Linked DNA regions of Notamacropus eugenii. The protein of the gene in region 3 interacts with the protein of the main gene of each other region in a pairwise test. Links are inferred from orthologs where the notes say so. Each region holds a gene or a part of one and is shown on either strand. Other genes may lie near its edges. The genes, in order: gamma-crystallin D-like, beta-crystallin B2, CRYAB and LBH.

Region 1 (6,205 bases), on a different chromosome or scaffold from region 3:
CTCACATACCAATGGTCTGCCTACTGGAGGTCCTATAGTCATCCCAAAGCAGAATTCATCTTTCCCCCAAAGCTCATCCATTTTCTGAGTTTTCCTATTAGAGTTGAGAATATCACCATTCTCCCAGTCACCCACCCACTCTCATTCACACCATATATCTACTCAATTACCAATCTCTCTTCCCAACGATATTCTTATACATCCCTTCCAACTCACATAGTTACCATCCTACTTTAGGCTATAATCCCCTCTGGTCTGGACTAATGACCTCCTAAATGCTCTCCTTGCCTCAAATCTCTTCCTACTCCAATCCGTCTTCCACACAACTGTCAAAGAAATTTTCCTAAAGTACAGGTCCATTCATGTCACCTCACTCACTGCTCAATAACCTCCAGGAGTTCCTATTGTCGGATGGATCAGATATAATCTCTTTTATTTGGTGTTTAAAACTATTCATGACCTAATCCTATCTTATCTCTCCAATTTTGTTTTTTGTTTTTAATGCATTGCTTTCCTCCTTATATTCTTCAATCTAGTCATATTGGCTTACTCACTGCTTCATATACATAGTTCATTGTCTCCTATCTCCATGCCTTTGGATTCGTTATTCCCATGCCTAGTGCACACTCTCTTTTCATTTGACCTCCCTTCTTATTATAATCGCCTTTTATTCATCTTATATGTTATGTATTTATTTTGATGTACATGTTATCACCCCAGTTAGAATGGTTGTTATTAACTGACTTTGATTTTATTATGGTCCTTCTTTTACAGATGAGGATACTGAGGCAGAGACAAGTGAGTTGCCAGCAAATCACACAGCTATTACCTGTCCATGGTCAAATTAGAACTCAGATCTTCCTGACCCAAGGTCCAATGCTCAATGCTATGACACCTAGAGGCTGAGGTGATCTGCCCAGGATCACAGAGATAGCAATGAATGTCAGACTCAGAATTTGAAGAGACATTTTCTTATTCCAAGTTCAATGTTGTTTTCACTGTAACTGGCAGTTGGTGTCTGTAATGGCAAGTAAAATAGGATCTTTTACTGTTTTTGTTTTAGTATAATCAAGAAGCATAATGCCTCTATTTGTTCCAAGATCCATGGCCATTTAGATTGTAAGGCCAAGGATCCTGGAAGGTGACCGGCCTAATGCCATGGGCTGCCCGGGTCCTCTTACCTATATCAGGTCTTCGGTGGCCAGCCAGATAAACATATGAGAGAAGAGACCTCCAGAGTCAAACAGAGGTGTAGGCTTTATTCCGGATACAAGCTACATGTCAGCATGCAGGGTGAGTGCTCCCCATGGGAGCCCCCCATGGGAGCCCCCTTCTCCCTCCCGAGGAGCAAGGAAGAACCCAACCCCCTCTCAGGCTTTCCTGTCCTCATTTAAGCTCTCCCCCTGCTAGTTCACTCATGGACACCGTGCTCTCAGCCCCTTAGCCAATTAACAAAAGGTGTGCTCAGACCACGGACCAATCTCAAGGGTGTGATGCTCTCCCCAGCAAGTTTCCACTGAGAAGAGATGCAAAACGAGATAACTCGTATCTCACTCCTCAATTCCCAGCTGTTCTCTGGGGGGCCTCGTGAGAGTTCGGCGGTTTCAAGAAGCCCTCACCTTTACCTGCCCAAGACCATTCTTACCTTAACAGGAAGGGTGGATTGTAAGGGAAAGCAAAGGAGGATCTTTTGTTGTTTTATTTTGGTATAATCAAGAAGTATAATACCTTTGATTGAATAATGTGATTAAGGAGGAACTATCCCACCCATTGATGGGCCTAGCAAGATTTGTAGGAAGGTCCACACCTTTAGTTAATGAAGCACTGGTTCTCAAGGAATATGATCCCCTCTGGCTCCAAAAAGTGTATAAAGACTCTAAGGTACAGTTTTACTTTGGGGCTTAGTTTTTGGAAGAAGGTTTGTGCGCTAGATAAGACTCTGGGAAAGCAACTAAGCAGCCCCTCAGCTTTGAAAACTCAAGTGTTACTTCCCTCCCTGGTAACTATGGTCAGACAGTTGGATCTATCTGTTGATTTGTAATATGTGTTTTGATTATGGTCAGACATAGGAAATGCTGTCTGTTGATTTAGATTTCTCTGTATTTTGATAGATAGATAGATAGATAGATAGATAGATAGATAGATAGATAGATAGATAGACAGATAGATATAGAGAGAATATATATTCTCTATATATAAATATATAGGAAACTGAGTCAAATTTACAAAAATAAAAGTCATTCCTCAACTGATAAATGGTCAAAGGATATGAACAGGGAGTTTTCAGATGAAGAAATTAAAGCTATCTATAATCATATGAAAAAATGCTCTAAATCACTATTAATTAGAGAGATGTAAATCAAAATAACTCTGAGGTACCATATCATACCTATCAGATTGACTAATATGACAACACAGGAAAGAAGATAAATGTTGGAGAAGATGTGGGAGAGTTGGAACACTAATTCATTCATTGTTGGTGGAGCTGTGAACTAATCCAATGATTCTGGAGAGTAATTTGGAGCCCAAAGGGCTACAAAAATCTGCATACCCTTTGACCCAGCAATATAGCTTCTAGAACTATATCCCAAAGAGATCATGAAAATGGGAAAGGGTTCTGTATATACAAAAATATTTATAGCAGCTCCCCAGACCAAGAACTGGAAATTGAGGGGATGCCCATCAGCTGGGGAATGGCTGGACAAGTTGTGGTGTATGAATGTAATGGAATACTATTTTTCTATAAGAAATGATGAACAGGAAGACTTTAGAGAGGCCTGGAAGGACTTATATGAACTGATGCTGAGTGAAAAGAGCAGAACCAGGAGAACACTGTACACAGCAACAACCACAGTGTGTGAGGAATTTTTCTGGTAGACTTAGCCCTTCACAGCAATGCAAGGACGTAAAACATTCCCAAAGGACTCTTGAGGCAAAATGCCATCCACATACAGAGAAAGAACTATGAAACTGGAGCACAGAATGAAGCAGAATATTTTTCTCTTATATTATATTTTATTTCGTTTTGTTTTTTCTCATGGTTTCTCCCATTCATTTTAATTCTTTGCAACACGACTAATGTGAAAATGTAATAAGAATGTATTGTAGAACCCATATAAGATTGCATGCCATGTCGGGGAGGGGATGAGGAGGAAAGGGGAGAAAATCTAAGACTCATGGAAGTGGTTGTAGAAAACTGAAAACAAATAAATTAATAATTTAAAGAAAAATAGATCTCTCTGTATTTTCTCTGAAGTCCAGTGTGCTGATTTTTCCCCTGAACTAACTGAATGATACATGTGCTTGTCTTTCCTTTAAGAGAAGCAGATCAAAGAACCTGTGATAGCAGGTCTCCCATGTATGTTGGGGTGCTTACTGTTACAGTATCTAGCTGTAATCAGTTGGCAGCTGCCATCCTCTGAAGTATGGGCAGCCTCTCTGAGAATCTCTATGATATTTTCACATAAACTTAACACAAAGTTTGTTTCACTTGTGATCTAATATAATAATAATAAAAACTAGCATTTATATAGAACAGAACACTTTATAAATGTTATGTCATTCAATCCTCACAGCAAACCTGGAAAATAGGGTCTCTTCTTATCCTTATTTTACAGATGCGGAAAACAAGGCAGAAATAGGCTAAGTGACTTGCCCTGGGTTATGCAGTTAGGAGCCAGGATTTTAAAGATTTTTGTGATTCCTAGTCCAACACTCAACCCACATCCACTTTCCTGAGAAAACTTCCAGAAGACACATTGCTTATATTGTGTCTAAACATAGAGGAAAAGCAAGAAATGAGAATCGACTATCATATGGGGCAGAACTGTGCACTTCAGAACAAAGAAGGACCCAAACACAGTCAGTTAACAATGAACTGTCTTTGTCCCAATGGTTATATTCCTCCCCCAATAGCAAGTATAGGACAGTACTAGAATGCACCAGAGAGAAAGCAGAGCATAGCACACTCTTCACTAACGACAGAATCAAAAAGCAAACCACAAAATCCCCTTACGCACCAAACTGGGCCCCTTTTTTGTTCTTGCCAATGCAGCAGCAGAAATGCTCTATATATACGAGCGGCTGTTGCCGCTCCCCCGAGGACACTGCATCCATCACCAACCAGACATGGGAAAGGTGAGTAAAGTATTGCCAGGGGCAGGGGAAGGGTGCCACAATTTAAGGGGCAGGATGAGAGGAAACAAGAGCCATGAATTCTTCTCCCTCTGCAGATCACCTTCTACGAGGACAGAGGCTTCCAGGGCCGCTGCTATGAGTGTAGTAGCGACTACCCCAACCTGCAGGCCTACTTCAGCCGCTGCAACTCCATCCGGGTGGATAGTGGCTGCTGGATGATTTACGAGCATCCTAATTACTCAGGACATCAGTATTACCTGACAAGGGGAGAATATCCTGACTACCAGCAATGGATGGGCTTTAATGACACTATTCGGTCCTGTTGTCTGATACCTCAAGTGAGTTCTGCCTCCGTGAGCTAAAAATTAGGGGGCCAGAAAGTTTTTCTCAAAGAAAAAAAAGAAAAGAAGAGAAAAGTCTAGCGAGTTTCAAACTGTGACCCAAATACAGATAAACACAGCAGAAATGCCCAAGAAGACGCTGAGAAATGCACTCTAGGAAAGAACTTATGACTATAGAAAATAATCAGTTGCTTTTATTATATCTACTAGCATTATTTGGTGGTTCTGAAATAATTTCAAAAGTCCATTTTTAGAAATTGTTCAGAAATGAAAAGCAAAAACAGCCATCAAGTAATATATAGGCTAACTGTGGCCCTATGATGCGGCTAACTGTGGCCCTATGATGCAGACATTCAGAAAGTAAGAAGTAGACAAATTCTTCTACAGATCATTTGGAAGTAGGGGGAAGAGGAAGGGAATAAGCATTTATATAGTGCCTACTATGTGCCTCATGCAAATATTATCTCATTTCATCTTCACAACTACCCTAAGAGATAGGTGCTCTTATTGTCTCCATTTTACAGATGAGGAAACTGAGGCAAAGAAGGGTTAAGGGTTAAGATGCCCAGAATCTCACATCTAGTAAATATCTGAGGTCATATGTGAATTCAGATCTTCCTGACTCCAGGTCAGGAGTAAAAAATATTAGCAATAGCAATTCCTGGAAGAATATATTCTTATCTTCTTCTTTGTTATAATGTGGTCCCTGTTAAGCTTCTTTATCCTATACAATAAATAGAAGAAAGTCATAAGAAGATATATTTAATGATTTAGCCTCTATAAAAAACAGATCAAAAGAATATCAGAAATACACCAAGTAATTTCAGAATTTCTATTTATTTCATCTATTCATCCAATGAAAATATATTAACATGCTAAACTATCAATGAGCTGAATTCTGAAAATGGCTCAATTTGTTGGGGTTTTTTTTCCTTCTGTTTGTTGCCCAAGCAGACTGGCTCCCACAGGATAAGACTGTATGAGAGAGAAGAATGCAAAGGTTTAATGTCAGAGCTCACCGATGACTGCCCTTGTATCTATGACCGTTTCCGACTGAATGAAGTCCACTCCTTCAACGTGCTAGAAGGCTGCTGGGTCCTCTATGAGCTGCCCAACTACAGAGGAAGGCAGTTCCTGCTGAGACCTGGAGAGTACAGGAGATACCTGGACTGGGGAGCCATGAACACCAAGGCAGGCTCTTTAAAGCGGGTTATAGATTTATACTGAAATCTGCTTATGCTACCATCTTCTCATTTTGGAACCTAATAAAGTATTTAGTTTGTATTATTGGCATGTAATGTCTCCAGTGTTTATTTTATATTACATATGAATAAATACAGTTGTAAATGCTTTAGTACTGAAAGGCTTTGAGATGAATGGGGGTAACTTGCCTTCTGGAGAATTCATCAAGGAAAGTTTTAAGGAGAAGGTAAATCTTGGGCAAAATTTAGAAGGATGGGAAGGGAAAAGACATACCTGGACCTTGGGGCAAAAGCAGGAGGCTGAAATGACCAAACCTTGAGTATGAGATAAAAAGTAGGTTTGTCCTGTTAAAACAAAACATATGATTGCGCTCTCTCTCGCTCTCCCTCTCCACATAGATATACATATATATATACATACATATATATATACACACACGTGTATATATATATATATATATATGTATATATATATATATATATATATATATATATATGATGCTGATAGTTAAATGAGAAACAAAT
Region 2 (7,388 bases), on a different chromosome or scaffold from region 3:
CTGTTGTCCACACTGCTACCCAAGTCATCTTCTTAATGCATCTTTAGGACTGTGTCACTCCTATCCTCAAAAACTTTCAGTGACTCCTGAAAAATGTAAACTCCTCATTCAAGCTACACTGATCTACTTCATAATAATCATATTAATAACTAACATCTGTATAGTGCCTACTCTATGTGCCAGATACTATGCTACGCATTTTACAACTACTATTTCAACAACCCTGCCAGGGAGGTGGTTTTTATTATCCCCGTTTTACAGATGAGGAAATCAAAGCAAACAGGTTAAATGACTTGCCCAGGGGAACACAGTTGGTAAGTATCTGAGGCTAGATTTGAACCCAGGTCTTTTTGACTCCAGGCCTTGCATGCTATCCACTTCACAACCTAGCACACACACATTCCACCTTTGGGCTCTTTATCTTTGCATTGATCTGTCCCCCATGTCCACAATGTTCTCCCTCCTTCCTTTGCCCTCCTGGCTTCCCTGGTTTCTTTCAAGACTCAACTCAAATCCTGCAGTCTTCATCCTGCTACCACTCACTGCCCCTACCTTTCCTTCTAAGCCCACCCTCCACTTACCCTGTATATATCTTGTTGGCCCATAAATGCTTCCATATTGTCTAATTTATTAGAGTGTGGGTCCCTTATGGGAGGGGACTGTGAGCTTTGCCCTTCTTTGAGTCCCTAGTACCTGGCACACAGTATGTACTTAATAAGTGCTTACAGACTAATTGAGTCAAGACCTCCCCAATCCAGGTCCCCATTATCTCATTCTATTTTGCTCTATATACTCTGTGCCCTAGTCAGACTGCAATATTCTCCTCTCCCCCTTTCTTCCAGAAAGCCCCCCCCCCTTCCATCCCCATCTCCATCGCCCCTTCTCAAATTCCTTGGAAGATTTCACCTTTATCCTTCTCACCATCTATCTCATATTAGAGTTTTGTCACAACCCCTTCCTAACAGGCCCCATGCTTCTTGGGTCCTTTGTCCATCTTTGTACCCCTGGACTGAGGACAAGGAGATGCTTGATGAAACTTTGTCCTCAAAGAGGACATATGAGAAAATACTTTCACTCACTCTTTTCAAGAGGTGGGGGTACTTGGGTGTGGAATATTACATATGTTATCAGATTTATATATATATATATTGATCAATTTTGTTGCTCTCTTTATTGTCTCACTCTTTTTTTAAGAAATGATTATTTCTCTTATAAAGGATGTCTTTTTGGAAATGGGAAGGAAAAGAGACTCATGGAGAAATCTTAGCTTATGGGCAGGTAGGCGGCAACGTGGCTAGAGTATCAGCCCAGGAGTCAGAAGTGAGTTCAAATTTAGCCTCAGGCATTGACTAGCTGTGTGACCATGGGCAAGTCACTTTTTGCCCCAATTGCCTCAAAAAAATCCAAAAAACAAAGGAAAAGATCTTTTAAAAAATTATTTCAAAATAAATTAGGAGTTAAAACCCTGTCTGCTCCTTCTTAAAAAAGTAAACAAAAATGAATGTTTCTTGCATTGAGCTGAAAATCTAATTGATAGAAGGAGGAAGTCAGAAAATGACCACCCAAGACTGGCAATCTTTCTAGACCATAGCTAGGGTTTGTCCATCTCTTAAGCTGGGCCTCTAAGTGTCCTGGAGAGAGGGATTCCTTTGAACATGATTAAGTCCCTATGGACTGTAGCCTTGTCAGAGTTCGGTCCTGCCAGGCTCACCACCTTTCCTGCCCTTTCTGAAATTTCCCATGTGGAGAGGCCCCCCCCCCCGCACCCCTGTTGGGAAGAGGAAGCCCATACTCACAATTTGCAGGGGTCTAAGGGAGAGGAGACTGTCACTGGTATGACTGTTGGACCAGGCATCCCACCTGGGATAATCTCCCTTTTCTAGGACAAACTGTTCTCCTCGGAAGGCGCTGCGTTCAAATGCCAACCATCTGGAATAAGAAAACCCAGCCTGATCTCAGCTGGAGGAGGCCAAGAAGCTGGTTGGGCAGCATGACGCCAGGGAGAGAGAGGGTACAGACTGGGCAAGACCCCATGAAAAGACAGCTATCCAACCAGGACAGATGGAGGGACGTCATCTGAGACTTTGGCCAAGTTCTCACAAAGCTGGCTCCATCCACACCCCAAAACTTCAAAATCCCACAGAGGTAGATGATGGCAACCAGAAGAGATCCCTAGATCCCAGTGATCCCTCATTTACAGATGGAGAAACTGAAGCAGAGGCAGGTTTAGAACAAAAAGGGTCCTTGGATGACAGATTATTAGAAAGAACACAGAATGTTAGGATTGGGAGGGGCCTTAAAACAGAGAAAGTCAGAGCAGGGCTGGATATTGGAACACAGAATGTCAGAGCTGAGAGGACCCTTAGAGCACAAGAGCACCAGAGCTAGCAGGAATCATCTAGTACAGTCTCCCCATTTCACAGGTGACAAAACAGGTCCAGAGAAGTGCGAATGCGTGCTCCCCATCACAAGGCTAGCTGTGCCCAGAGCCAGGATTCCAAGCTTCCCTCAGACTTTCAGTGCAGTGCTTGACCTCAGGTCAGATGGTATATGGTCTCCTTTGTCTGGTCACTTGGGCTCTTTGTACGCTGGACCCAGAAAACCTCGACCTCCCCACCCCCCACTTTGTACATGCAGCACTTACGGGCCAGATTCCACCTGGATGGAGCCCACCTTCTCTAGCAGACTTTCAGTCAGGTTGGGGCACTCAGTGGAGAAGTCATACTTCTTTCCCTGAAAGTTCTCCAGCTCATAGACTGAGACCTAGAATAGGCAGGGTGCCTGTGAGATCCTCCGAACAAGGCCCTTGTCCCTCTTTGGCTTTTTCCAAGCTTGGGCTCTCCCCAACCCTGACTAGATCTTTGCTTCTCAGAAACACTAGGCAAATCCTGAAGCAATCAGGCAGGTATCTGGAGGAGAAGGCCTATACTTCCCTCTGCTGGCCAAGCAAATCTGACTCAGCCTGGCACTCTGGGCTTTGTGCCACCAATGGGCCCAACTGCCTGAGCTGCCCTGGACAAGATATCTTAGGGAACAGCCCTAGGACATGGCCCCTCAATGGAACCTGTGATCTGCCCCCTTGTGCCAGACTCTGGCTTACTTGATTAAAATCATAGAATATTAGAGCTGGGAGTACCCTTAGAACAGAATATGTCAGAGTCGGGAGGAGCATTAAAAGAGAGAATATAAAAATTAAAGCTCCAGTTGGATCAGGGACATACCCCGAGTTTTCACCCCATCTGGCTACATATCTGTGGCCTGGGTGATTGTCTCTCCCTCCCAGTGGCTGTAAGCTCTGAATACAGCCTTGTTGAGGAGAGGGAGCCCAGAGCCCTAGGGTCCATCTAAGCCCAAGGATGTCCATCCCCCCATGAGCCCCACACCGTACCTTGAAGGGTCCCCCTAAACCTCCATGGCTTTTCCCAGCAGCCGCCTGCTCTGGGACACTTTGCTGCTCCATCATCTTATCACAAAGATGTCTAGATGCCAAAAAAAAAAAAAGTTGCCAACTGAGAGTCTTAGCTAGGTCATTCTGAAGCAAGGGAAGGATCCAATTGACTGGGATTTGGGCGAAACTCTCTCAAAATCACATTCTGTGAAAGATTTTCAGTCTGTGGAAAACGCTTCACACCCAGTCATACCTGAAGGCAGTGATCCACACAGGTGGCCATACAGAGAAGCAAGCAGACACACACACACTTGCTGTGACCCACCCACACTTGGACATAGTCATGCACATGGTAGTACATATGGCCACTCTCCCAGACACAATTATGGGATGTCTGAGGACTGGGTTACTCGTGATGGTCAAAACCCAAGAGAAAACTGGACTTTGTGGTGAAAGTCAATCTCCCCATTCATCGGTCTCTGGGACTGGCCCAGCTCCCAGCTGGAATTCAGGGCCCCAGAATGAAATGTTCCACTTTCCCAGACTTTCCCAGTGGCAAAGTGGGGTCACAAACTGCTTCAGCCTTAAATAACCACAGAAATTGGGTCACTGTCCCCCCTCCCCAAACCAGAAGGGGCTGCCCCAGCCTCAAGGCAAATGAGGCCTCTCCAAAGAAGACAATCCCTGCCAAGATCTCACGGTTGGAGACCAATGTTACTACCCTCCTCGCCCCAATACAAATCAGGTTTCCATGCTGTGGCCTTGGACAAGGGACCGATGGCCTTCCCAGGTCCTTCCATCCAGCAATAACACCCAAAATGAACCCGAAAGCCTGAGTAGTGATTGATCCTCATTCCCTTAAATCAATCCCACCCACCCCCCCAAAAAGAGATGTGCACCACCCCTCCTCCCTCCCTCCCTAGCCTCTGTTACCTCTTAGAGGGAAAATGGATCAGCAGGACTGGGGCTGGATCTCCCCCTGGTCCCTATTTATGGCAGCTTTATGACCAGACCAGCACATTCTGCCCTGCTGCGCCAGCAGCTCTGTCTACTAAATTCCCTCCAACTGACTTCACTTGAATAGAAGGGGCCCAGGTGCCGGTATACGGGATTCCTCCTGTCCACCGTTTCTAGCTGGACAGTGTATAGCAGTGGGGATCGCTCTTCCCTCCCAACCCCCTCCATCTCACTCCATCAGCATTATTTCAGGAAAAGAATGGAGAGGGGCATCGAGGTGAAAGAAACCTTGAATGGGGGTAATAGAGTATCCCTAGCCATGGCAGAGAAATAAACTCTCCAAGCTTGTGGGGGCCAGGGCAAAGCGAGGAAAGTGAGGATGAGGGTGAGACCTGGCTCAAAGGACCATAGATGTATAACGGGAAAGGGCCTAAGAGATCACTTAGTGTAACTCCATTTTACAGATGGAGAAACTGAGGTGCAGAGAGATTGAGTGACTTGCCTAGCATCACACAGCAAATAGGTGGATTCAAACCCAGATCTTACTGAATCCAGGTCCCGTGCTTTAAGTTCTATGGGTCATGGGATGCAAGTTTCTTTGTAACACGGAACTTAATACCCATGGTGGGCAGTTTCAAGGCCAGACCACAAAAGCTAGGTTTTAGATCTCATGTAGCTGAATTGGGGTGCCAAGACTGCCAGAGAACACATTCCAATCTGGGGTATCCCCCAGATGCTTTCTAGTTGTGAACGCCAAGGTCTCAGAAGAGCAATGGCCAGAGACCAATACATGCATGGGAAGCAGTGTAAATGCTCTAGAAAAGGAGGAAGAAAGGAAATAAACATTTATGAAGTGCCTACTATGTGCCAGGCACTGTGCTGAGCTCTTTACAAGTAGGATCTCATTTGATCTTCACAACAACCCTGGGAGGAAGGGGCTATTGTCACCCCCATTTTACAGATGAGTAAACTGAGCCTGAGAGGGGGAAGGGGAAGGGGTTTCTTCAGAGTCACACAGTATATCATGCAGGCAGGATTTGATCTTAGGTCTTCCAGTTTCCAAGTTCAAAATAAAAGAATAAAGCACACTCTATGTATTGAGCAACCTATGCTGCCCTGAATGTTGGAATATTATCATTACTATATTAAGTAACAGAGGAAATAAGATGTCTCTGAGAGATACAATTTGGACAGAGTAAATCAGGGACAAGATTAACAAGGGAAGTTGGTCTAGGCGAGGGACAGAGAAAAGTTCAGAAAAGAAGACGGCCCTAGCTCCCAGCATGCTCCTGGTCCAGTGGATAGGACCATAGGCTTGGAGTTGGGTCCTCTAGGCCAAGTCCAGTACCTTCCTTTGTAGATGAGGAAACTGAGGTCCAGAGCTGGGAAGAAACTTGTCCAAGGTCACACAGCTAGCCAGCATCAGAGGCAGATTTTGACCTTGGTCTTCCAGACTCTAAGACTGATGCTCTGTAGGACAGTGGATGCAACAAAGGCCCTGTGTTCAAGGACCTTAGAATTCAGTTGTTGAAAGGGACAAATCCACAATAATTAGAATAGAATGCCCAGTGACAGTGTGCAAAAAGAGCAGCTCAGGGCAAGGAGGCAGCAGAAATTGTTTAAAGGGCAGAATGTTTCCAAATGGAAAGGAAAGAAGGCTCGGGAACAGCTTCGTGGAGAACAGCCAGTGAGCAAGAAGAGATGGGAGGTGGTGGTATCCATTCCATCCAAAAGAACTGGGTAAGTCACAGAGAGAGTAGGAGTCAAGATAAGACCAGGCCAGTCTAGCTTGACTGGAATATGAATGAGGGGTAGGATGAGATGGGAAAGCTCCTTGGAAGCTAGGTAAGTATGAGCAGCCTTGAATGTCAAAACAATGATACTAACAGTGGACATTCCTATGACTCTTTAAGGTTTGTGATATAATAATAATGATGATAGGACAGCTAGATGGTTCAGTGGTTAGAGCTCTGGACTGAGAATCAGGAAGGACTGAGTTCAAATCCAGCCTCAGACACTAGCTGTGTGACCCTGGGGAAGTCACTTCATCTTGTGTGCCTCAGTTTCCTCATCTGTAAAATGAGCTGGAGAAGGAAATGGTGAACCAATCCAGTATCTCTGTCAAGAAAACCCCCAATAGGGTCACAGACAAGACTGAAGTGATTTTACAACAGAAATCACAAAGTGCTTTGCAAATATATTTCATGTTATCCTCCCAAGGATCCTGGCAGGTGGATGAGAGGTAGATTATCTCCATTTTACAGATGAGGAAGCTGAGGGTGAGAAAGGTTAGGTGATTTGCCCATAGCTACTAAGTCAGAGACAAAGATTGTCTACTAAGATCTACCCAGTTCCCATTCAAACCTTCTATCTGCTGTGCCACCTAGTGGCTACAACATGACTTATACACACTGTTTCATTTGATGTGCTTACACCTGCATTCAGGTCATAGGGGAAGTCACAGGAAGCTGGGTTCAGGAGGAGTTCAAAGAATCCAGTTTCTCTAAAGATTGGGACATCTAGTACAAGAAGGTAATGAAGCCAGAACCAGCATCTGGGGAAATTACTGGTGACCCACTCTTCCTCCAGGTAGCCAAGGAGAGCTTGGTCCCCAGAAAGCAGAAAAACAAAATAAAAGAAAAACTTCAGACTTCTGGAAGAACTGGAAGGACTGCATGGAGATATCTGGGATTCAGGGAAAGATCCAGAGACTGGGAGAGCTAAAGGGGCCTTTGAGAATTTGAAGGAGCTGACATTTAGCGATCATAAACTGTCTTATATGGTTCAATTTTAACCCGTATTTTCCCACAAGTTTTCTATTTAGGATCCACCCTCCCCAACACTTTGGAAGCCTTCCTCCGTTTCCTTTGGTCTCTTGGGCAAACTATTATAAGACCAGAGTCTAAGGGTGGGGAACAGCCCCTACCCCATTTAATCACAGAAAGCCCAGATATTGGATGGATTGAAATTAATGAACTGAATCCATTTAGGAAATTTAAACTAGATGCGAACAAGTGTTGAATCAATCTGAAAGGATCGCAGT
Region 3 (7,627 bases):
AAAATACCTTGCACATGGTAGTTGCTTAATTAACACATGTTGAATTGAATTGAATGGTAGGCATGAGCAGGCTGGGAACACATTACAAATGAAGAACTGAGGAAAAGAAGGAGGGTAAAGGATGTCATCAGAGAAATGTGTGACCAGAAAAAAAAGATGGGCTGACCAATAACAAGAGCAAGGGATGACTGTTGGGTAGTCCTCATGATTGGTATCAGTGCCAAGTGATTTAGGGGAAGTCCCTCAATGCATTGTATGGAGCCCCTATAAAAATTTATAGGAGGGCAGGGACCTTGGCAAGGACCAAGAGTTGCATGGGTTGGGAGAGCATTGGAGGTGTACCCAGCACTGATGAGATCACAGAACCTCCAGCTACTGAAGAATCAATCAATTACATTAAGGTACCTACTATACTAACATTCTTATCAGTATTCACACTTTAACTGGAGACGATAAATTAGTTAACTAATTTCTAATGGAGAATTTTCAGCTGTCAATAACAGGCTGGTGGTAGAGATAATTTGGGGAAAGTTATTGGGTGTGTGTTGCCTATTCAAGGACTGAATGAAGGGTAACTAGGGACCCAGGTTTCCAGAGCTTCCTGTATACTTAATAATTTCCCTTTCCCAGAACTTGGGGCTTCCCTCAGCACTGCTTCCCCAAGAAAGCAATAACCAGCCTTTCTGGACACGTCAACCCTGAAATAGGAGTCTGGACACCACCACCCTCTTCTTCCTCCCAGTATATGTTTGATCCTTTCCTTAAGTGGTAGAAATGATGCTAGAAACTGATGGAGCAGCTTGATTCCTACTATGGGATATTTCATGAATTAGAGTAAAATACTTTCTCTTTGGCCTGAAAGAGAGGGTAGGAGTCCATGTAAAGGTATTAATTAGATTCTATTAATTAGATTCCTCTGAAAGATTTTAGAACTCTGACACAATGTCCAACTGTGGTTCCAAAGGACCAATGATGAAGAGTGCTATTTATCTCCTGATAGAGAGGTGTTGCACTAAAAATGAAGACTGAGCCATACATTTTTGGACATGGCAAATACAGAAACTTGCTTTGCTTAGCCATGCATATTTGTTACAAAGCTGGGGAGGTGGCAGGGAGAAAAATGATTATTGAAAAAAATTTAAACTTTTGAAAATGGGTTAGGGGCAAAATACCCCAGATTTTAGTCTCAACTCTGTCTCTATCTACTAGCATGTCCTGGAGTAAGCCACTTTCCTTTATAGGCCTCAGTTTCCTCATGTGTAAAATGAAGCTGTTGATCTATATGACCTTTAAGCTCTTATCCATCTCCAAATTTAATATCTTAAGTCTCTGGGTCTCAGTTTCGTCATCTATAAAATGAAGAATTGGGCCAGATGATCTATCTATAAAAACCCCTCTAGCATCATGATATATGACTGCTATGGACACTTTGAGGCACAAGGGTGATTGTGGAGGAAGATTCCTTGCTTAATGCTTTTTCATTCATTCATTCATTTGTTCATCCACTCCTTCATTCCAGTATTCATGCTCCCTGGGTTTATTCAGTCCCTTGAAAGGGAGAACTCTGTCTAGTTGATAGAAGTAGATATCCAGGAACTGAAGGACATTGCTCTAGGCAACACTGCTTAGACAAAAACATGTTCTTTTCTTTCCCCCAGACCCCTCCCAAGTTCTGCCTTGAAAAGTCCAGACTGTCTGGAGACCCTTGTCTTTGTACCTCTAATCACCAGCCCAGACAATGCCCTCTGGCTTGTTTGGATGGCATAGCCCTCGTCCCCTACCAGGATCACTCTGGCTTTTGTTGTATTGTGAGAAAATCAGAGCTAGGAATCTGATTAGGAGTCAGTGCCAATGCCCTGCTGTTATCACAGCTTCCAGCTGCGAGCTTAGTCTGGAGTTGAGCTCAGCATATCCAAATTATGAGCGCTCTGTCCAGCCAGAAGTTCTGCAGTCTTTGTGTCTAGAACTTCTTTCCTTACTCTTAAGTCTTATTCTCCAGGCTATAGAACAGGAACAAATGCAAACAGGGCCCTGGGATTTGGATTTATTCATCTCTACCCACAGCTGAATGACAAACACATGTTCCAAGGGACTAAACTAGATAGACATTCCATTCTGGATCACTATTATCCACCCCCCACCACCCTCGGCCATGGCCCCTTCCCATCCACTTTCCCCTTCCCCTTTTCCTTCCTTTCCCCTATGAGATATAACTGTCTCTAGGCTGGTGGGCAGCTGCTTCCTTCACCATATAGCAATAGCCCTTCCTATAAGATAGAAAGGGACTTGCTTGGTGCCAGGTTTGGGATAATCAGAGTCCCATGAAGTCTCCCTCCCCTTCTTCCTCCTGGTCAGGAGGCCTAGGTAACAGAGAAATATGGACCTCATTGACCTCTGTGTCCCATTGTCTTCCTCCCCGTGGAGCCTCCAGATGAAGAATGCCATCATGGGAGAGTGCCGCCTTGATTCTCCAGGGATCGACATCAGCAGGCAGGACATAGGTACGGCAGAACTCACGAGACACAAAACCATGTCGATCCAGGCGCTGAGGATGCCGGGCAGACACCTCCAGCAGGTTGTCCACGGTCCTCACTATCACCTCATCCGGGGTAAAATGACTCACATCCAGGAAGGCCTGGAACTTGCCTTCACTAAGACGGAGCTCCGAGGCCCCTGCTCCACTGCTCTCCCCAGCTGGAGCTGCCCGTGGTCGGACATAATAGCCATGGTACAGGGTAGGAGTCAGGATCTCCTCTGGGAGTAGGCCTAAGGGGTAGATAGAAAGAAAAGATGAGGTAGGGAATAGGGATGTGATGAAGGAAAAAAGTATAAAAGGAGAATGGAAAAAGAAGAGAAAGCGTGCATGGGCAGGGCAGGAGGGAAGACCAAAAACAAAGTGTCAAAGACAGGGAAAGGTATACGGGGAGAAGAGACCACAAATTTGGAGCTGGAAAGGATTTATAGAGGCCGACTCCAAACCCCTCATTTTTTCAGACAGGAAATTGAGGCCCAGAGAGTAATGTCTAAAGTTACAACTTCAGCCACCTCTTCATTTTTTCAGACAAGGAAACTGAGGCACACAACAGGTAACTGGACCACAAGTCACATAGGTAGCAAGTGATAGGGTCAGATCTGCCTCTTCACTTCAGTGACTGGACAGAGGGAGAAGGGAAGATACAAAAATTATAATAAACAGGATGGGGGATTGGAGACAAGGGAGAGAAGAAAAGTTGAAGCCAAGAGGTGGAAAGAGAGATCCACTGTCCAGCAGGATCCCCCAGGGTCAGATGACTGTAGTAGGGGATCAGTAGGGAATGAGGCAATAACTCATGGGAAAAGTCAGTCTTAGATGAGAGATGACCAGTCTCGGGAGGTCAATTTAGTTCGAGTTGGTGGGGGGTGGGGAGTGATGGTTAGTGCGGGCTAGGAGATGAACCCCCCAAATAAATGGAGGTGGGGGAGAGGGGCGTCAATCCTGTACCTTCCCCAAATCGTTGTTCGCCCAAGCGGCTCGGATTAGCGAACTCGTACTCGGTGGTGGCCGGGTGGGCGTGTGGCACTGAGCGACCCGACATGGCCTCAGATGGACCTTCAGCCACGGATCAACCCCTGCGGACACAGCGGGCCCCTCCTGCCAGGATGAATAGCCAGGACTCTGGAAAGGACCCCGGGAAGGCTGGGGCTGGGGCGGGGTCGGCGCTGCCCAAAAATAGTTCAGAGCCTTGGGGGGAGAGGGGGAAGGCGAGCTTTGTGGATCCTGCCTTCCCTCCCCCTCCAGGTCCTTCTCGGATCCGGTTGCTCAGCTGTTCAGCTGCTCAGCTGGGTTGAGTGAACTGGATTCGGGTCCAAGGAGGGCAGGAGACTCATTCTTACTGGAGTCTTCCCAAACCCTGTACGCTCCCCAGATGACAGCACCCTAAATTCTTTTGCGTCTTCCTAAATCTAACCTGCTAGTCATCGGAGAGCTAGGTATCCAGTATTATCAGTTCAAACCTGTCCAACCTCATTTTACAGATGAGGAAACTGAGACCCAAAGAAGTGAAGGGATTTTTTTTTTTTTTTTGCCCAAGGTCACAGCGCTAATAAGTGTATGAGGCAGGCTTCCAATTCAGGTTTTTCTCACTACAAAGCCAAGGTACCATCTGCTATACCAGACGGCCTCTCAAGGAGACAAGACTGAGGTGTTATGGTGGTCTCATTCCTTTTCAAAACGTGGGTTCTAATCCCTGCTCTGCCATCCCTTTTATCTAAAATTCTGAAAAAAAAATTTTTTTTAATAAAAATAAAATTCTGTAATTTTATAAGCATGCTTCCCCCCACAACCACCCCCTACCCTATTTCCTTTCTCAGCTCACTGAAAAGACAAAAGTCCTTTCTGTCTAGAATGATGTCAAGGACTTCCCCTCATTCCTCCCTTCTACCTAGGGCAACGCACAAATGTCTAGACAATGACATAGCTTGACCACTGGTCTTCTTTCTCCAAGGAGTCACAAAGTCACAAAGAGTTAATGTCCTTGGGACCCAGCCCAGGCAGATTCCTTCCCTGCCAGTCTCTGCCTGGGCCCAAGATAGTTGCTGGCCTGATCCCCCTGGCATGTGAGACTATAGTGGTAGGGGGAGGGGCAAGCTGCTTGGGATTCCTGGCTCTGCCTTACCAAGAGGGGAGGGAGAACCATAGTGCTGAAGCTCAGCGGGTGGAGGGGTGGAACAAGGGGCGGGGAGAGCACCCATATTTGGAGACCAGGACTAGTCACTTGCCAGCTCAGATATGTTTGTGTTTCTCTTTTCTTAGCTTGGTGAGTACTGGGTGTGTGTCACAGCCAAATCCCCGATCACCAGTCCTCCATGAACTGGGATAATAAAACTCCTGACATCACCATTCCAGAAACTTCACGGGTGCTGGGTATATAAGAGGCTAACTGGAGCCTGGGCTGAAGGAGCTGCCCAGCCAGCCATACCCCACAAACTTCCTCTAGCCACCATGGACATCGCCATCCACCATCCTTGGATCCGACGCCCCTTTTTCCCTTTCCACTCACCCAGCCGAATCTTTGACCAGTTCTTTGGAGAGCATCTGCTGGAGTCTGACCTCTTCCCTACCTCCACTGCCCTGAGTCCTTTCTACTTTCGACCCTCTTTCCTTCGAACACCTAGCTGGCTTGAGACTGGACTCTCAGAGGTAAGTCTTCCCTCTGTCAGGCAATGGGCAGGTTTTTGGGGCATCAGTTTCTTGGTGCATTCCCTCTCTTTGAGCTCCTAGCTTCAGCTTTCCCAACAGAATATCTCATACCCATCTATAGCACAGATGTCTAAAGCATCTGTGCCTGGTAGTGTAGAAAGATGAGGTCACTACCAGTTTCTCAGCAAGTCTGGTCCAATTTATTTTAGACTCTCTGTGAAGGACAAAGTCGAAACATCTTATTAATAAAATCCCTTAGGACCCACTGAGGTCATCTCATGTGCCCCCAGGTTCAGGGCAGTCCCTAATCTAAGATAGGGGCTACTTTGTTGCTTTAAAGTATCCAGAAAGAAATAGCTCTGGCATTCCTTGGTCCCCTGTTCTGGTTCCTTACAATCCTTTTCTGACAATTTTTTGTTGATTTTATTTTAGTTGTATATGCTTTCTTCCAAGATTTGAGGCCACTGACCTTACTCTTAGCTTCCCTGTGTAAGACCATAAAAAGCAACTTGTTTCCCTCCTGCCTGTCAGCCTCCGAGCAGCGATTGTTGGGTTTCTTTGGGTTAGGAGGGAGTATTAGTGTAGGCTTAAATGTAAGGAAGGGGTAAGATCATTTTTTTAGTTCTTAGCTCAAATTCTGGACTCAGACTGTCCAAGACTCAGGCTCTCTACTCTGGTTTGGAAGAAGAGAGGTGAATAGACTAGGTTGACAGATAAGAGCTGTGCAACAAACAACACCTTCATTTAAAAATATTGAAGTATGAGTAAACAGGAGTCTGGTGAGTGAGTGGGCAAGGGCATTGAAAGGGCAAGCTGGGTGGTTCTAGATTAAGTGGGTGGGAAACTTGGCAGTCCCAAGGAGCAGGCAGAATTGGTCTTTGTTTTTACAGATAAATATCCAGGGGCTTGGAGGTTTTGCATTTGGCAAACTGAGAGGGGTGGGGTAGGTTGTGAACATGAGAATTATAGCCTGGCCCATCTTTTGTTTAGTGTAGACATGCTGTGGACATTCTGGCTCACACTTGGGGCATCTTTGAGAATGTCTTGGCTTCTCCCCAGGCCTATAAGCTCAGTTAAGGGTTGGTGGCCAAGGATCCCATGAGCCAGAGTTATAATTTTGTTATTTTAAGGAAAGGTATTTTCCCAGGGGGTGGGGCAAAAGGTGGGGGAGGGAAGGGAAGGAGAAAGAAAGACTTCTGGATGGAAGAGGTTTGCAGATGTGTTTTATCTCTTGGCTTATCAATACCACCTACAGGAGTGAGAGAGAGAGAGAGAAAGAGAGAGAGAGAGAGAATATCTTAACTTCCTAGGCTTCCCCTCTTCTGAACTTTCTCTGACATCTCTAGATGCGACTGGAGAAGGACAAGTTCTCAGTAAACCTGGATGTGAAGCATTTCTCTCCAGAGGAGCTCAAAGTCAAAGTGCTGGGCGATGTGATCGAGGTTCATGGAAAGCATGAAGAGCGTCAGGTATCTGACCTGTTCCTTATTGGCAGCCTTATCCTACTCCCTTACTTTGAATAGTCACTCTTCTGCTGTGTCAGGAGGAAGGAGGAACTGCTTTTGGGGGGGAGGGGGGAGGGGAGAAAGAAGAGAAGGATTCCTGAAACTCTTACAGCTGGGAGAAACCCAGTTTAGATATCCCAGTTAGAAACCATGAGATTGTCAAGGTATTCAAAGAACTCATCATTCCACTTGGAATCCATTCCTTCTCTAAACCTCTGGTTCTAAGTTTCGGAGCTGTATTTAACTCCCTGAATCCTAAGACCACATGAAAATCAGAAAGAGAGACCACTTCTTAAAGAAGTTTTGAAGGGTCAGAGAATATGAGGGAGAGGTGAGCCCAAAGCCTTGTCCTTTGGATCCTAAAGCCGGGTGCAGTCGTTCCTTATATAAAAATAGACATCAATTCCTGGGGAAGGTTTTGATGCACCTTTTCTTCTATTGCCTGGTAACATCCCAAACTGTAGGAATTGTGGCAAACTGTATTCAACCTACCCCAACAGAGTCCATTTCGGCCCAAATGTTTTGGGTTGGAATCAGGGGTGTGCTGGTGGCAACCAGCTTTCCAAAAAAAAAAAAATGTATGCAAGGTGCACTTTTAAATTTAATCTGCATTAGTAATATTTTTTTTCTATCACTTTCTTAAGTCCAGACAAGCAAAAAGAAAAATCAAGCCCTTATTTGGAGATGTAAAGATTTGCAGTGAAAATTTTACAGTTGGCTCTTAGGAGCTGGTTCAAGCTGACTCCAGCATACCCCTGGGTTGGAATGATACAAGATCAGACTAAAGATATAGAGATGGTTCTCCTTGCTCTCTGTTATTTCCAGTGCCAAGCAGACCAGAGAGTTGTAGATTTTGTCTGTCGTTCAACACACCAAGGTTAGCTGTGGAAATCCTAAATTCAAATAGGCTGTTGTGTGTGATGATCTAAATCACTGAGAAGAT
Region 4 (6,986 bases), on a different chromosome or scaffold from region 3:
AATCTGGTCTCAGAAACTTAGTAGCTGTGTGACCCTGGGCAAGTCATTTAACCCTGTTTACCTCAGTTTCCTCATCCGAAAAATGAAGCTGAAGAAGGAAACAGCAAACCACTTCAGTATCTTTGCCAAGAAAACCCCAAATGTGGTCAAGAAGGGTTGGGTATGGCAGAAAACAACTGAATAACACACATGAACTCTTTATTTCCTGTCTCTGTGCACTGGCTGTGGGGTCATGAAGAGCCAGGCACAACTGAACAACAAAAAAATTTTAAGTGCTTTTTAAATTATAAAACTTTATAGTGATGTTGATTGACTGAAGTCTAAAAAGTCAGGAGTTTGCATGTAACTTCTGCCACTTAGTCCTTGGATAACTTGGAGGTAAGTAACCTTACTAATTGAAGGTGTCATTCCCTCATTTGTTGAAAAAGTAACCTCTGGCAAACTATAAGTCAGCAGGACTGAACACTGTGGTAGGTGACAGAAAGATGAGAGACCTAATAAGATGGACAAATAATGAGAAATATTTTCAAGTCTTCACATAATACCTAGGCAAGGAGACATCTGCAAGGCTATAAAATTGCTATAAAATTCCCTAAAAGCTTGCTCTTCTCCCAGCTTTTTTATATCTGCTAATGTCATCCCCACCCATCATTACTAGGCATCTAGGACTGAAATCTTAGTCTATCTTTTAGTTCTTACTTTTCCCAAACGTGTTATTTCTTCCTTCACAATATTACTTAAAACCCTTCCATTCTCACCACTCACAGAATCACCATCCTAGCTTGTTATCTTGTTTGAATAATTGCAATAGCTAACTAACTTGATAGCAATAAGCCTCCATTCTGTCCCTTCTTTTATTCATTCCTCCCCTGGTTGCCTACATAATATAATGCCCAGGGCTGGCCATGTCACTCATCTACTCAAGAAGCTTCAATGACTACCTATTCCCTATATAGGATAAAATATAAACAGCTTCCTTGATCTAGCTTATTATTATTCTAGCCTTAATTCATTTTCATGCCCTCTATCTCTCTGTTCCAGCTAAACTGAACTACTAACTATTGCTAGATCTCATAAAGCATCTCCAATCTCTTTAAATTTGTTAAAGTCAGACCACAGGGCACTTGTTGAATTCCTCTACTTGTAAGGTACAGTTCACAAGTTGCCTCCTCCATGAAGCCTTCACACTATTCTAGGTTTGAAAGCGTTCTATTCTTCTTCAAACTCTCTTACAGCTCTTTGTATTTCTCCTTCGAATTTGCCATGAGTTATCTTGTAATATTATTGGTGTACATTTACATCTTCCCTATTAGAATATAAGTTCCTTGAAGGCAAAGACTGTTTTGTTTAGCATTGGCATATTCTCAGTAATTAGCACAGTTCCTAGCACAAAGTCAAGTGCCCAATAAATGTTTATTGAATTGAATCTCTAAGACGGAATATATTTAACAATTAGGTTGCATCACCAGGAAAGTCCCATCAGATCCCTACATTTTTCTCCTGGAAACTGTGCATCAGCTGGGGAGCAGGGAAAAATTCAGGACTTGATGGCCTTACCCTTGGAACACCAGTGGCCATACAAATCCCTGAACATACTCCTCTTCTTACTGCTCAATTGGGGACATTGATCTAATTTTTCTCTAGAGTTCTGAAAGTTTCCAAAAGGCAGATGACGTAGAAAAAGTGAAGTGTGGCTTTTGTAATGCAAAGTGGTGGAACATTCTTTTCCTCTAGGAAGTTTTCAGTGATTGGCTGTGAATCTGTGAGTTATATATATCTGGGGAGAAAAGGAGAAAGAAACTGGTTAGTGCCAGGCCCTCCTCAACTTCAGTCTTCATAATCTTCTCTCTGCCTTTAAACACTCCATTATCCCCCACCAGGGGTATGGTAAATATCACAGATCACAGACTTCACTGTAGTTTGCATTCTTATTTAGTTAAATAGATTACAACATCCCTCACCCCATTCAGCATCTTTGGACAGTTACCCCACCACCTCTGAAAAAAAAGTCCAAACAATTTCCCTTTGTTTCCTGTTACCTCGACACACTATGAGTATCATGTTAGTAACCTGTCCACAGAAACGTTGCCCCTTACCAAGCTACTATTTCTATAGTAAAGTCTCATAGGAGAGTTTTTCCCTCCCTCTCCCTTACCCACTGGTTGCCGGAGGTTAAGTGGAAGAACTAGAAGTAAAGAGAGATAGAGGGTGGTCTTTTCATTACTATTTAATACAAAGAAGTAAAGAAGATTCTGTGCACAGATTCCTGGCATATACTACACATTCCTCAGCCTTCCTTTTACCCAGTTTGCCTAAGGTATGCATACGATTGTGTTTTATGTACACTCACTGCCTTTCATAGAGCTCAGGCTGACTTGAAAACAGGTGTGTCTTTCCCTTTCATTCTATTGCTTTTGCCCCCACCTTTGCGGGATAGACGTGTTAATCTCTTCATTTTTTTTTTTCAGGAGCAACAACTCAGATTTAGATAAAGAAAGCAAAGGAGCATCCTTCTCAAGTCATCTCAACCCAGGCTGGCTCCCAGACTGGCCGCTGGGTGAGGGGTTGGGGGAGGGGAGTTCGGGCGTTCACAGGGACAGTGGTCAAACTAACAAGACCGGCGTGGCTATTCCAAGGCCCCTAAGGGAGGAGAGAGATTAAGAGGAATTGTCAGTTCTTTGTTTCTCTGGTCTAAAACCAGACTTCCTCCGAGCTTGGTCTGGGAGCTGGGGCTGTGGGGTGGTGTGTCCTCTCCCTGTCTGCCTCTTTCCCTTTCTCCCCCACCCGTTGCCGCGGAGTGTATGTATGTATATGTGTCGTGGAAAAAGCCCAGGATGAGACTACATTCTCTCTGGCACACACACATGTATGCATACATATATGCATGTATGTTGTGTGTGCGTAGACATTTATTTATGCACAAGTATACGCACATAGGTATTCATGCAGGCATGAATGTGCATGGATATCTAGTCCAACACATTTGAGTGAGAGGGACCCTCCGCGAACAGCAGAGACTGAAACCGATCCTTCAGAAATCACACAACTTCGGGTCGCCGTTCTACAGATTGTTTCTACTGGGCTCGGGGCTCATAGCCAGGGTCGCTCGCCTGAAATAGAACAGAACAGCTCTGGGCTTGGGAGGCTGGCGGGCTGGGGAAGGGGCGGGTTCGGAGGGACTCGGGTCCAGAGGAGGCTTCCAAAGAGGGCTACCCTCCAGGACTGCCTGGACTCTGTCTAGTGCCCAAACCTTGGGCGCGGGATGTAGGTGGGCAGCAATAGGCTAGGCAAAGGCGTGGATGCAGATGCCAGCTATCGGGGCCAGGGCAGGGTGGGGGGTGGGGGTAGCTTCAATGAATGGATGCGGAGTTGGGGGTGGGAGGGCTCTGCTTTTAAAGCACGGCTCATTTGCATTGAAATGCATGTCCATATGCACTAAAGGACTAGGATTCCACTCACGTACAGTCTTCGCACTCCCCCCCCTTTCCCATTCCACCCCATCTCTCCTTCCTACGTTCAGAGATCTCTCACCCCCTCTCTAGGAACCCAAAGGGGACAGCTTACTTTGGATGGGGGAAGGAATGGAGCGGATTGGATTTGTGATAGGGAGACATACAGCCGCAGAATCAGCCAGCGACATGCAGGGAGGAGGGGGGTCAATGTGTGCGTGACAGTGTGTGTGTGTGTGTGTGTGTGTGTGTGTGTGTGTGTGTGTGTGTGTGTGTGTGTGTGTGTGTGTGTGTGTGTGTGAGTGCGTGCGCGGGAAGGGGTGGGGGGGGAGCAGGGAGGGAAGGGGGGAGCTGCAGCAAACCAGGGCCCTTCTGAGGAGCTGAGCGGAGCCGCAGGCACTAGCTCGCAGCTACAAAACCATTCATGATTTTGGTGACGTTATTCCAGTTGTGGGGGGGAGGGAAGGCGGGGCCTCTGGGGCCCAAGACCCGCCCCCCCCCGCTCCTATAAATAGGGCTTCCCAGGCTCTTTGTGGGGCTGAGAGCTCTTTGGGAAGGGGATCGGCACGTCTGCTTGCTAGCCTTTCCTCCGGGTGGTGGTTGAGAGCGGTGGGACCCTGTGTGCCTGATATCTTGCCCTCCGGACGGGGTGTCCCGGGACGGTTAAAACCTTCGTTGCCCCTAAAAGCTCGAGAAAACTGCTGGGCACTGGGCCACTGCAGTGCCCTCTTTCTACTGGCCCGGGGACCGTTTTTTAAATATCCAAGGGTGTGGGTCAGCCTCCCTTAGGACTTCATGTCTGTATATTTCCCCATACACTGGTGAGTATTCATTCTTTACCCTTGGTGTCTGTCGTACGATGGGGTCTAAGCCAGAGGCTCTTGTCATCTCCTCCCAGAGTCGGTCCCTTTGGGGTACAGTGACTACTGAGTGCTGTGCCTTAATGAGGAGGGGCAGTTCTCCTTTCCTGGCGATCATTCAGCTAAATGCCGAAGTCGCACCTAAGGGAGACGTGTGTGTTTGTCGGGGGTTTTGGAGGACTTAAGCGCCCTGGAACCTATTGAGAGAAACCAGACAAAGACAGTGAACTTGGAGGCTTCGCATAAGTGCATGATGGCTGGGGGTACTGATGGGGGAGAGGGTGTAACAAACGTGACCAATAACCTCCCCACTCAGTTCTGTGCTCCAAACGCCCCCTCCTCAAATGAGGATTGATTTTAGAATCTCGTGAGTGTTGCTTGATTTGGGGAACGGAGACAGTCTTTCCCCGTCTTCCTCTCTTATTTTCTCCGCTGCCCTTCTCCCTCTCATTCTCCGCCCACCCACCCCTCTCCAACCCCGCGTTTTTCCTGTGGTTTGCATGCAAGTCTTGATGTAGAGTGCTGGAGATGGGTGGGCTTCAGAGGGTGCTGTGATGGCTACTGTGGTTCTGGGTGTTGGATGAGAAGAGAGCCCCCTATGGACGGGCTGGAGGGGAATGGGGTGGTGGTGGTGATAGTGGGGATAGTGGTGGTACAATATGTGTGTGCGCGCTCGAGTGTGCGCGTGTGTGCGCGCCTTCTCCCCGCACACCCTGCGAGGAACGCTGCATTCTTTTGACCCCATCGCTTTGCTTTCCCCTCCTTTCAAAGAGAAGTGCCTTTGAAAACCACTCGACTTGACTAGGAAGGGGGGAAAGCAGCTGATCAAGTCCCAGCAGCAAGAAAGGGGAGCGGGGAAAACACAAACCAGCACCCTGGGATGGATTCAAGGGTTGGGGAGGTGCGGGGGGACGTGGACTGAGGAGAGAGGCTGCACTGATGAGGGCGGGTTTGGAGGTCCTTAGGGACTGTACCGATGGGGGTGTGTTGAGATCTCTAGGGCGGTGATGCTGGATTGTTGGGAGTCTATTGAGATGCCCAGGGGCAGGGGGCTGGACTAATGGGGGTGGATGTGTGAAGATCCCTGAAGGTCTGGGGCTTTAGCAGTGGAGGGACTGTGCAGATTGCGAGGTGCGGAGGAGGAGCTGTGTGGTTTGCCGAGCCAGGCCTCAGAGTCGACCTCCTGCAGGGGCTCCGAGCTTGCTTCCTTCCTGCTGGATTCGAGCAAACATTTAGCATCTCCCCCGGGTTGGGGAGGGGGTGCCAAGGAGAGTGAGCTTGATGCCTGCAAAACCTGTTCCCACGTGTGAGAAACAGAAGCTTCTAGAGGAACCCTGGGCCCCAACCCAGTGTTTGTTTCCTGGCAAGGCGGACTTGCGTGTACCGAGCCAGAAGGGTGAAGGTAGCCGCTTGCAGCTAGCCTGAAGCTGCTAAGCTGAGATGGAGCTGGAAAGTTTGCAGCTTTTTCCTCTCCACTTTTCACAGCTGTAGCCCCAGACCTCAGCGATAAGCAGGGAAAGGCCCCAACCACTGGGCTGCAAATCTGAGGCAGCTCCAGGTCTTTCTCTCCACCACCACCACCACCCACCCCCTTCCACCCCCAGTGTTGAGAATCAGTTTACTGGGAGGGGTCCCAGGGAAGGACCTTGGACTTGGGGCAAGCAAGGGATCTGGATAGCTGAATGCTACCCCTCCCTGGGTCCCCAGTCCGACTCTCTATAGAGAGATGAACTTGATGCCCCTGGAGAAGTCAGTGTCCCTTTAAGCGGGGCGTGGCTGCTGGACTCAGGATGAGAATAACTGATGGGTTCCTCATGCCCCCATCCCCTACTTCTCATCTCAAGCTTACCCAACTGCCTTCACTGACTTCGACTAATGAGAATCCAAGTAGGCTATCAAGTCAGTGTTGACTAATCTATCTCGTTTTCAGTGGAGAGAAGCATTAATTTCTGGAAAAAATATGCCCACACCTTAGTATTTATGGCAAGGAGACAGCTTTTGTTTCCTTTCAAGCTCTGCCTCCCATGTATTTAGTGTTATTTTTTGTGTGCATGTGTGAGATAGTGAAGATGAGTGAAGGTGCTGAGGTATGTATGGAAGGCATACTCCCTATGAAATATGGGAATGGACATTGACTCCCAGAGTCCTATGCCCTTGACTACCCTGTGTGTTCAAAGTTCACACTTGGGGTATGGAAATGCTTCTTTGGCTGCTTTGTCCTTTTGAAAATGCCTGGTGCAGGCAGAGCCAGGCAGTCATTAAGGCTGTGAATGTACTTGGTGCCTTACTGGTACTGAGCTGGCCAGGGCTGTATTTGAGGTTAGAAAAGGAGGCATTGACCAATGTGAAGTTTGGAATGGTACCGACCCATCCAGGGTGTAGATAGGACATGCTTCAATTTAGAGGCACCGGGAACTATGAAGAAATTCTGAAAGCCTTCATATCTGAAACTTGTCTCTACACATGTGGGAGAAAGGGATAGACATCACTCCGATGAGTCTTTTTATAAAATGACAGTTTTGTACTTTTGTCATCATCCTCATCATTGTTAATAACAATAAAAGCATTGCAAGGAAGCAAGTTAGTTGAGATAGTTTAGAGAGAGATGAAATAACTCCTGGTGCCTTCCATTCCTAAGATGTAATGAAACCAGACAGGGAACATGGATATAGATGGC

What was found.
Region 1: the proteins of CRYAB (region 3) and gamma-crystallin D-like interact in binary tests that used the Homo sapiens proteins (3 or more experiments, as listed by UniProt). The link is inferred for Notamacropus eugenii from reciprocal best matches to the Homo sapiens genes CRYAB and CRYGC.
Region 2: the proteins of CRYAB (region 3) and beta-crystallin B2 interact in a two-hybrid assay, tested with the Homo sapiens proteins (2 studies listed by BioGRID and IntAct). The link is inferred for Notamacropus eugenii from reciprocal best matches to the Homo sapiens genes CRYAB and CRYBB2.
Region 4: the proteins of CRYAB (region 3) and LBH interact in a two-hybrid assay, tested with the Homo sapiens proteins (2 studies listed by BioGRID, with this or other methods). The link is inferred for Notamacropus eugenii from reciprocal best matches to the Homo sapiens genes CRYAB and LBH.

What each region holds. Positions count from the first base shown.
Region 1 is NC_092877.1:305,337,034-305,343,238, reverse strand, and holds gamma-crystallin D-like, read left to right. Parts: upstream 1-4,048; 5' UTR 4,049-4,062; coding exon 4,063-4,137; intron 4,138-4,232; coding exon 4,233-4,475; intron 4,476-5,429; coding exon of another isoform or gene 5,430-5,432; coding exon 5,433-5,705; downstream 5,706-6,205. UniProt on the Homo sapiens protein: Crystallins are the dominant structural components of the vertebrate eye lens.
Region 2 is NC_092875.1:21,054,018-21,061,405, forward strand, and holds the start of beta-crystallin B2, read right to left. Parts: upstream 3,017-7,388; 5' UTR 2,645-3,016; intron 1,930-2,644; 5' UTR 1,856-1,929; coding exon 1,797-1,855; intron 1-1,796. UniProt on the Homo sapiens protein: Crystallins are the dominant structural components of the vertebrate eye lens.
Region 3 is NC_092876.1:142,265,857-142,273,483, forward strand, and holds the start of CRYAB (alpha-crystallin B chain), read left to right. Parts: upstream 1-4,603; 5' UTR 4,604-4,981; coding exon 4,982-5,179; intron 5,180-6,525; coding exon 6,526-6,648; intron 6,649-7,627. Other genes in the region: HSPB2 (heat shock protein beta-2), read right to left, coding at 2,312-2,766, 3,482-3,575. UniProt on the Homo sapiens protein: May contribute to the transparency and refractive index of the lens. Has chaperone-like activity, preventing aggregation of various proteins under a wide range of stress conditions.
Region 4 is NC_092872.1:532,390,122-532,397,107, forward strand, and holds the start of LBH (protein LBH), read left to right. Parts: upstream 1-3,982; 5' UTR 3,983-4,244; coding exon 4,245-4,270; intron 4,271-6,986. UniProt on the Homo sapiens protein: Transcriptional activator which may act in mitogen-activated protein kinase signaling pathway.